Nothobranchius furzeri: one gene and its partner. The protein of the gene in region 2 interacts with the protein of the main gene of each other region in a pairwise test. Links are inferred from orthologs where the notes say so. Each region holds a gene or a part of one and is shown on either strand. Other genes may lie near its edges.

Region 1 (4,316 bases), on a different chromosome or scaffold from region 2:
GTGTGCTCTTCTCTTGTGGAACATGTTTCCAGTGTCCATCCACTGGGCAGACCCCCCCCCCCCCCCCATCTACTTTTAGGACTAGATGTCAGGCTTTTTTAAAATAAAGATTGTATTGAAAGAGTGTGTTTCACACATTACCTTCTAGACACTGGCCTTTGAAGAAAACTTTCTGTTCCAACCGAAACTTCTGCAGCTGCTCAGCAGAAGAGAAGTTCAGCTCTCTGGACACCGCTTTGCATTTCAGGATCTTCTTTGGGACACGAGCTGAGACAGGAGAGGAGACATCACGGTTAGGTCAACACGTCCAAACTACTGGATATTATCAACCATCAGATTTGTTTTGGAGCCCACAGGACAGGGTGAAACCCATCACTACTGAATATTTACTTTTTATTAACCCTCTCGAGCTTAAAATAAGTTTTGATAAAAGGAAAAACTGCTCATGAAATACGTATGTGGAGTAACCAGGTAGGTAGGTTTTAACGTTGCAAATCTGCAACGCCTGCCTCCTGAGGGTTGAAATGATCTAGAACAGCTGTGAATAGAGTCTAATAATATAATTATTGATTTGTTAAACTTGGAAATAGAGGGAAAAAAATTCAGCTGCAGAAAAAAAAGGAGGGCAAAAACAAATCCTAACTTTTATCATTAGAGATAGTGTCCCTTTTTGGTAATTCTTTTGAACGTTGATTGGTTAAATGGGTGTTAAATAAGGCACTGGTTGTGTGGGAGATTAGTTGAATTTGCTTTTTGGGCGTAGAAATGTAGAGGTAGTCAGAAACTCAAAGTATTTGCCAGATTATTTTCTTAATCACCTCTTTACCCTTTGTTTAACATGTTTCTCCTTTAAAATCAAAGATAAGCGAGCTGAGAGATCTGAGGAATGTGAAGCGGTTATGTGAATTTTGTTTTGTCACACTTTGTGCCAATTTGTTTTTACTCCCATATGGAGTCTCAAATAAAAGTAATGAGCGTGTCATTTACCCATCTACTGTATAATGTATGCTGCGATTTACCTTCATGTTCGACTCCAGGTACAGACAGGTCCTCTGTTCCCTGCCACAGCACCTTACCCGTCTCTGCATCCCGAAGGTTCATCCAATTTCTGCCAGCACGATGTTAAGTAAAAACAGGCAAACACGGCAAAGAGAAATGGAACCAGACCCTTTCTGCACCCACCCTGATTGTTCCTGGGCAAAATTCAACATTGAACCAGAAAAAAAACATTTAATCCAGTTTCTCAGAAAAGGTCCAACAACAAACAGCAACAGTCTGCAAAATTCTCTGGGAACAAATGGGAAATATTTAAATCTCGCTGAAATTATGAGCTTCCTGGCATCTTACAGTTGTTCGTGCCTTTGCAGTTCTGGGGTCCTCGGCTTTGGAACCACAAGAAATCAAACAGTCCACATCGCTGCCCACCTTTAAAGCAAGGCATAAGCTGCATTTGAGATCTGTTTCTTCGTTGTTTTTATTTACATTTTAATGTTTTCGATCACTATTTAAATTGTTTTAACCTCTTTTTTTTAATTGTTTTTTTATGTTTTCATCTCTGTATTTTATTATAGAGCTGTTTTATTGTGCTGCTTCTTTGCACTATGTTCAGCACCTTGGACCCCCTTCATTGGGGGTGGGAAGAGGCTTTATAAATAAAATGATTGATTGAAACACCATCCAACCTAGAAACTCCCTCTAAACTCAGACGACTCAGAACATGGGCAGTGTCTGGATATCTATAAGCATTTGAGTAAAATCACAGATTGAAAAAAGTAACAGCTGCAGCTCATGGCATCACTTACGGACATCCCAGCTTCCTCAAGTAAACTATTCCTCCTGCTTCGTGCAAACAAAATATATTAAAATTAATGCATTTTTTTATTTTCTTTTGATGAGATTGACGATTTTCTCTAGAATCCGACCAGATGGCAGAGGTGCTGATGGGGTTCACCGGTAAAGTTGAACATGCCACAGAAATCACCTCTTACAATATTTGTTGTCATCACGTAAAACATTATAAAAGTCATCACCACACCACACAGCTGTCATGATGAACTCACGTTTGGTGCTACAGTGAACAGAGTGCTGACTTTATGAAATATTTTCCTCCCTCAAAATCAAGACGGTGCTCGTGGCCAAAACTTTGGCTCCAATTAAAGGTGGAGTTGAATGTTCCACTCTGCGGCAGAACCACTTAAAAGTTTCTAGTTTGATTCAAGGACTTTTAAAAGGTACAGCCAAAAGAAACGGTTGCTAGCAAAGGTCCTGTTCAGGTTGGGTAGCAGCACACACAGGGGGCCAGCTGCAGCACCAATCCACCTGAAGTCCTCACGCAAAGCTGCTTACATATGGAGCTAACGGAACTAGCAGCTTCCACGACACGCTCAGACAACATGTTTGATCGGTAACAGCCCCATAAAACCGAATTTAATCAGTCACACCAACAGGCAGCAACTTACAGGTTGTTAGCACGTCGGAAATTTTGCCATTTAACGGTTAGTTAGCATGAACAGCTAGCTGTTTTAGAATCTTAGGAGCCGACTTCTAACTGCAGCAGTAGTTATAACAACACATCAAGCTTAACCGTGAAAAACATTACCATCACCCAGTGGAAGGATACAGTTTAAAGCCCTTCAAAATCTCCTTGGCCCTTTCCTCACTCCGAGACATCTCGGGACAGTTTCCGTTTATTACCGATTATCCAGAATGTGGGGGGGAAATGACGCCGTTAACTTTATCGTAGCAGGCCAACCGGACAGTCGAAATTCGCCAGGAATAGAGCAGGCAATACGAAATTAATCCAGAACAGTTAGACTACAGGATAAATCCGATTCCAATAATGCAATCAGCTAAACATACCCGCCCACGGACAGACAGCTCTCACAGCCACTCAGTGGGAACGAGAACTACTACGAACCAATCACAGCGCGTGAAAGAAAAGTAGGCGGGACGGAAACGGATAGAGCGTTTCGCCGTTAAAACCAAACACCAGTTTCCTCCGTAAGCGATTCCGTACTCTCACCTTATTCCAAAAATGCATCCTTTAACAATTAAGAACTGTTCTTTTGTGGACAGGAACTGCAATAATAAAATCCTTAGATGTTGGCTCACTGACGCCCTCTTTCCCTTACCTCTTAGAAGACGGGAATTAGTGCGTCAATTTAGTAATTCTGATGTTAAAAACATTAGATGCAACTATCCCAAATTCCCAATCCCTCCTAAAGCCAAGGAAGTTCATTTTAAAACTATAAACAGTATTTATCCTTGCAAAGATTTCTTGCAGTCTAAATTTAATATTGGAGAGAACAATTGTGCCTTTAGCACTTCTAATATAGACACTGAGATACATTTATTTTTCACATGCATCTTTACCAAAATTTTCTGGGATAGTTTTCACTCGTGGTTAACGCATAATAATTTCATTATACGCTCCTTATCTTTTTCTGACATCAAGAATGGTATTAGTTTGGAAAATAAAATGCAGCAATTCACTGTCAATAATTTGATTATTTTCGCCAAATTCTTTATACACAAATGTAAATTTGGCAACATCAAACCGATCTTTATTGTTTTTTTTTTTAAAGAACTTGCATCCTTTATGGATTCTCTTAAATTATGTAGTTCCAAGAAAGCCATTTGGCTCTATAACAATTTGGTAAATGTTTCCTTTACCCCTAAAAATGTTGATGTAATATATATACACACACACACACACACACACATATATATTTATATATATATATATATAGTTATGATTTCTGCAGGTTGATATTGAGCTAGGTTAATATTATTGTTTCTGTTTGTACACCTGCTTTATTTTGTCATGCTCAGAATTCAACTGTAAATATTGATTCTTATGTAAGCCTGTAAGCTTTATTGGTTAAATAAAACTTGTTTAAAAACGTAAGCGATTCCGCCATATTGGCAGGGTAAACTTGTCAAAAGTACAAACCAACACAAGCCTTCCATGCAGCATGCTTCAATAGGATGGGTTCCAGTCAGTTGGAACAGGATCTTTAATTACCTTTATGCTCTGGGCTTTAACCACATTCAACTAACATTTTATTTTGTTATTTTAAGCTCTTTTAACTAGCACTGTAACTGGTTTTGATTGCTAACAGGTTGCTGCTGCTGAATGACTTTATATGAACATAAGTTTTTAGATAATAAAATCATATTTTAAATGCAATTAAAAGATTAAACAGGCCAAGCCATTCAGGGTCAGAAATGAACTTTAAGGATGTATTTTTGAAGTGTTGAAAAAACATTTTGCAGGTTGCTTATCTGGATTGCATCCGTTAGCTTCAGATTTGTTA
Region 2 (3,908 bases):
TGATTCAGTTTCTAAGTACGACGATATTTAAAATGGAAAATTGAAGTTTTATTAATTGCTTGTGATTTACAAACTCCCATCAAATGTAGCAGTAATTTCTACAATTCTGTGTGTTTTCCAGATGAGTACTTTTCATTCCCTCATCTCCCACAAGCATCAGAACATTCTTACGATCACTATGGTCGTTTCTGAATTATATGGAAAATAATAAAATGATGTTCAGAAATGAAATCAAATGAAACTATTTTCTGATATTGGAATTTGTGATAGAAATAAAATAAAAACAATATACAGATGAAAAAAACTGGCTGATGATGGGGAGTAAAAATCCGCTCCCTATTCCATTTGCTAGTATTTACTGTGTGATTGTAGCCCTCTTAAGCACCTTATTCCACCTGATGGCAGCATGTCCCTTTCATTGTCCATCCAAACTTCTTAAGATTTGCACAAGTCTTTCCAGGAATGACGGACTTCAGGTCTTAAAATGTCTGTAGGAAGTATCGGGCATCTTCTCTAGCCTGCTGAAAACAGTCCATACTCCTTGGATGGGGCTGATATTCTGCTAAAGAAACTTTTAAGTATTGGGGTAAGTGCTACAAGCAGCAAAGCAAGCATTTAAATGTGAACCCCATTTTACTGAAGGTGGCACGATCTTTTTCAAGTTGTGATTTATTTTGATATTCACAAACTCTGAGAGCTCCAGTTTGGTTTCCTATCATAAAAATGATTAGAGTGATTCTGATCCTAATTCTGATCCATTTGCCTTTTGTGCCTTGTTCTTTGATGATGTCCCTGGCCTGTACCCTCTGGTGTGTAGAAAAGTAACTTGAACCAAAACTCCATATTGCTCTGTCTGCCTAAAGCTGTTGGCTGTCACACCACTCATGATTCTCTCAGTTCTCTGTTTACCAGACAAGAATGTGAACAGAGAAGGGATCTCTAAATGACCAATGGTTGGAGCAGAAATGTATACTGATGATATCCCAACTCCAGTCACAATGGTCACTTATGCAGTTGTCTCATCTCGCATCAGATCACGTTCTCACTCTAATCAGTACTGAATGGTACCAAAGACCCAGTGCAGTTTTTCTTTTCTTATATCTTTAGCCACTTTTACAGCCTCCAGTCCTAAAGATAGCATTCAGATCCTCCAATAACAGTGTTTTGGAAATGAGAATATTGATGTCTTTATCCAAAGGGCTTTTTAGACTTTTGCCTTTCCTGATCATGATCACTTGATTGTGACGGACTCCAGCCAGCTCAATACTTCTTGCAGTCCTTGCCCAGAGCTGGCACTAACTTCCTTTGTTGTGATGGACTGAGGAGCACTTGCAATGATGTCATCTATCCGGAACAGTGACTTTATCTCTACAAGGCTCATGATGCAAGGAATGTCTCTGGGGAAGAAAGAAAACCAAGACAAAAATGGCATGAAAAAAGGGTTTCTCCTAACACACAGTTGTGATTTTGCATAAATGTCTTGTGTTTTTGACTATTTGCATTTGTAGGAACTGATGTTTATGAAATTCCTACCTCTTGTTGAAGAGAATAAGCACAGATGCACGGCAGAGAGGCTCAGCTGAGAGCACAGACAGCAACAGGATGCACGAGGAGGATATCTGAGCTATGTTAGATGAATCCACGACGAACTATGAGAAAACCATAAAAAATATTTGATCAAAATGATTTGTTTCCTTATTGAGTATTTAAAAAAATGCTGTATATATTCAAGTGTCTTACAATGAGAGAGAAGCAGTCTGTGAAGTAGCTGGGCCATATAGGGCCCATGCAGCCTCCCAGCTCCCTTACTGTCACCTTCTTCTTCTTTAGGGTGAGGTCTGTCAGATTTGTTCCTACCTGAGGTGATCAAATAGATGAGGAGTCACATCATAAACAAGCGTGTTCGCGTGCTATTAGAACTGGATTTCCTCAGCGCTTACTGTGGGGAGAGTGGGAGGAGGAGAGCCCACTTCACATGAACCATGCAAACTAAGTAGTGAGAAATCTGTAAGGAAATGTTCAGTTACTGTAGCTTCATTTCAATGCAAAGAAACATTTGGTTTAAAGTAGTAAATAGCATAGCATTTAGCTAGCTGCATTAGCCTTCACAGATAACTAGTTTAAAACACTTAGACGAGCACAAAGGATATCTTGTAGGCGTTTAAGTAATAAAGACTTTCCTGAGCCAGTCGCTCCGAGGAGTAAACACATTTCATTGTTGTTCATTTCGCCTTTTTCTGCGCAAGCAAAGCATTTCAACATGTTTAAATCATGTTAGAGGCTGCCGCACTTGACGCCATGGAGACGCTCACGTGACCCTTCGTCTTGACACTGATAGGTCCAATTTGATTTCATTCCTCCTTGGTCTGCATCTGATTGGTTGTTTAAGATCACGTGAATAAAGTGGAAGCAAAACAAGACTAAAATCCTCGTTGACTGAAACGACATCAGAGTCGCGACGCCATCGGAACGTCGAAATCGGCCACACGTTGTTGAGACTAGAGTTGCAAGAGAAGAGGAGCCGAGAGATAATCATGGAAGCGAAGTTAAAGAAAGAGTTAGGCACGAGCGTGCTGAAATCCACTGGTCACGCAGGAGGAGGATGTATCAGCGAGGGTCAGAGTTATGAGACCGACACAGGAAGAGTGTTTGTAAAGATTAACCGCAAGAGCGAGGTCATTTTTAAGTTCAGAAATTGCAATAACATCTCGGAATACTCATTTGCACTTTTTTTTAGATATACGTATTATGTCAGCTATTAAATGATTTGTTGTTTTAATAAACAGCTGTTATTTTCAGGCATGGAAACATTTAATCAACCTGATTCTACATTAATAAACAATAATAGTTATACAATAATTAATATAAAATACGTTTGTGTTATTCAGGCCAAACGGATGTTTGATGGAGAGATGGCAAGCTTGGAAGCAATCTTTAAAACCAAAACCGTTAAAGTACCAAAGCCCATAAAGGTGGTTGAGCTGGATAAGGGAGGATGTGTATTTGTGATGGAGCATCTGGACATGAACGGTCTTAACAAGTGAGTGAGTCTTCATGTACACTATAGCTTGTTTCTGACGTATCATTCATGTGAAAATATATAAATTCTTATTTCATTGAGCAGGTTCTCAAAGCAGCTTGGAGAGCAACTTGCAGATCTGCATCTACACAACAAAAGGCTCATGGGAAATCAACAGAAGGAGCAGCAGACTGTGGGTAATTCATTTTACATTTGTATAATTGCTTGGAAATGTGTGTAGAAATGCAACAAGTCACACTTTGAGTCTTGAAGCGGGGTTCCCTCTGATTTAACCTGTGTTGTTTTCAGGTAAAGGAGCTGGACAGTCAGAGGCGGCTGCTGTAGAGAAATTTGGCTTTGATGTAGCTACATGCTGTGGATATTTACCGCAGGTTAAACACTAAACAAATACTGCAGTGCACATGTCTTTTATACATATCTTCAAGAATAAATCTAAATTTTGATCCCTCTCCACTTTTCCAAGGAGAATGAATGGCAGGATGACTGGGTGTCATTTTACTGCCAGCACCGTCTACAGCACCAACTCAACTTGGTGGAGAAATCATATGGAGATCGGGAGGCCAGAGACCTATGGGCTCAGCTACAGGTGCATCCTCCGCTTGACAACATCAGATATTTTACACAACCCCTGATGAGTGCCACAGTAATCTGACAGTCCAGTTGTGTCTGTTTTTTGCAGCTAAAGGTCCCACAGTTTTTCACAGATGTGGAGATCTTTCCTGCTCTCCTTCATGGAGACTTATGGGGAGGAAATGTGGCTGAGTGTCCGGAGGGTCCTGTCATATTTGACCCTGCTTCTTTCTATGGTCATTCAGAATATGAGCTTGGCATCGCTGGCATGTTTGGTGGCTTCAACAGCTCCTTTTAC

The links.
Region 1: the proteins of arl16 (region 2) and pde6d interact in binary tests that used the Homo sapiens proteins (3 or more experiments, as listed by UniProt). The two-hybrid records come from large-scale screens. The link is inferred for Nothobranchius furzeri from reciprocal best matches to the Homo sapiens genes ARL16 and PDE6D.

Annotation. Positions count from the first base shown.
Region 1 is NC_091756.1:55,091,893-55,096,208, reverse strand, and holds the start of pde6d (retinal rod rhodopsin-sensitive cGMP 3',5'-cyclic phosphodiesterase subunit delta), read right to left. Parts: upstream 2,877-4,316; 5' UTR 2,671-2,876; coding exon 2,621-2,670; intron 1,109-2,620; coding exon 1,020-1,108; intron 268-1,019; coding exon 142-267; intron 1-141. UniProt on the Homo sapiens protein: Promotes the release of prenylated target proteins from cellular membranes. Modulates the activity of prenylated or palmitoylated Ras family members by regulating their subcellular location.
Region 2 is NC_091745.1:1,693,157-1,697,064, reverse strand, and holds arl16 (ADP-ribosylation factor-like protein 16), read right to left. Parts: upstream 2,342-3,908; 5' UTR 2,263-2,341; coding exon 2,151-2,262; intron 1,997-2,150; coding exon 1,941-1,996; intron 1,858-1,940; coding exon 1,741-1,857; intron 1,650-1,740; coding exon 1,534-1,649; intron 1,398-1,533; coding exon 1,232-1,397; 3' UTR 654-1,231; downstream 1-653. Other genes in the region: fn3krp (ketosamine-3-kinase), read left to right, coding at 2,535-2,675, 2,889-3,040, 3,125-3,216, 3,329-3,411, 3,504-3,626, 3,720-3,908. UniProt on the Homo sapiens protein: May suppress the RNA sensing activity of RIGI in a GTP-dependent.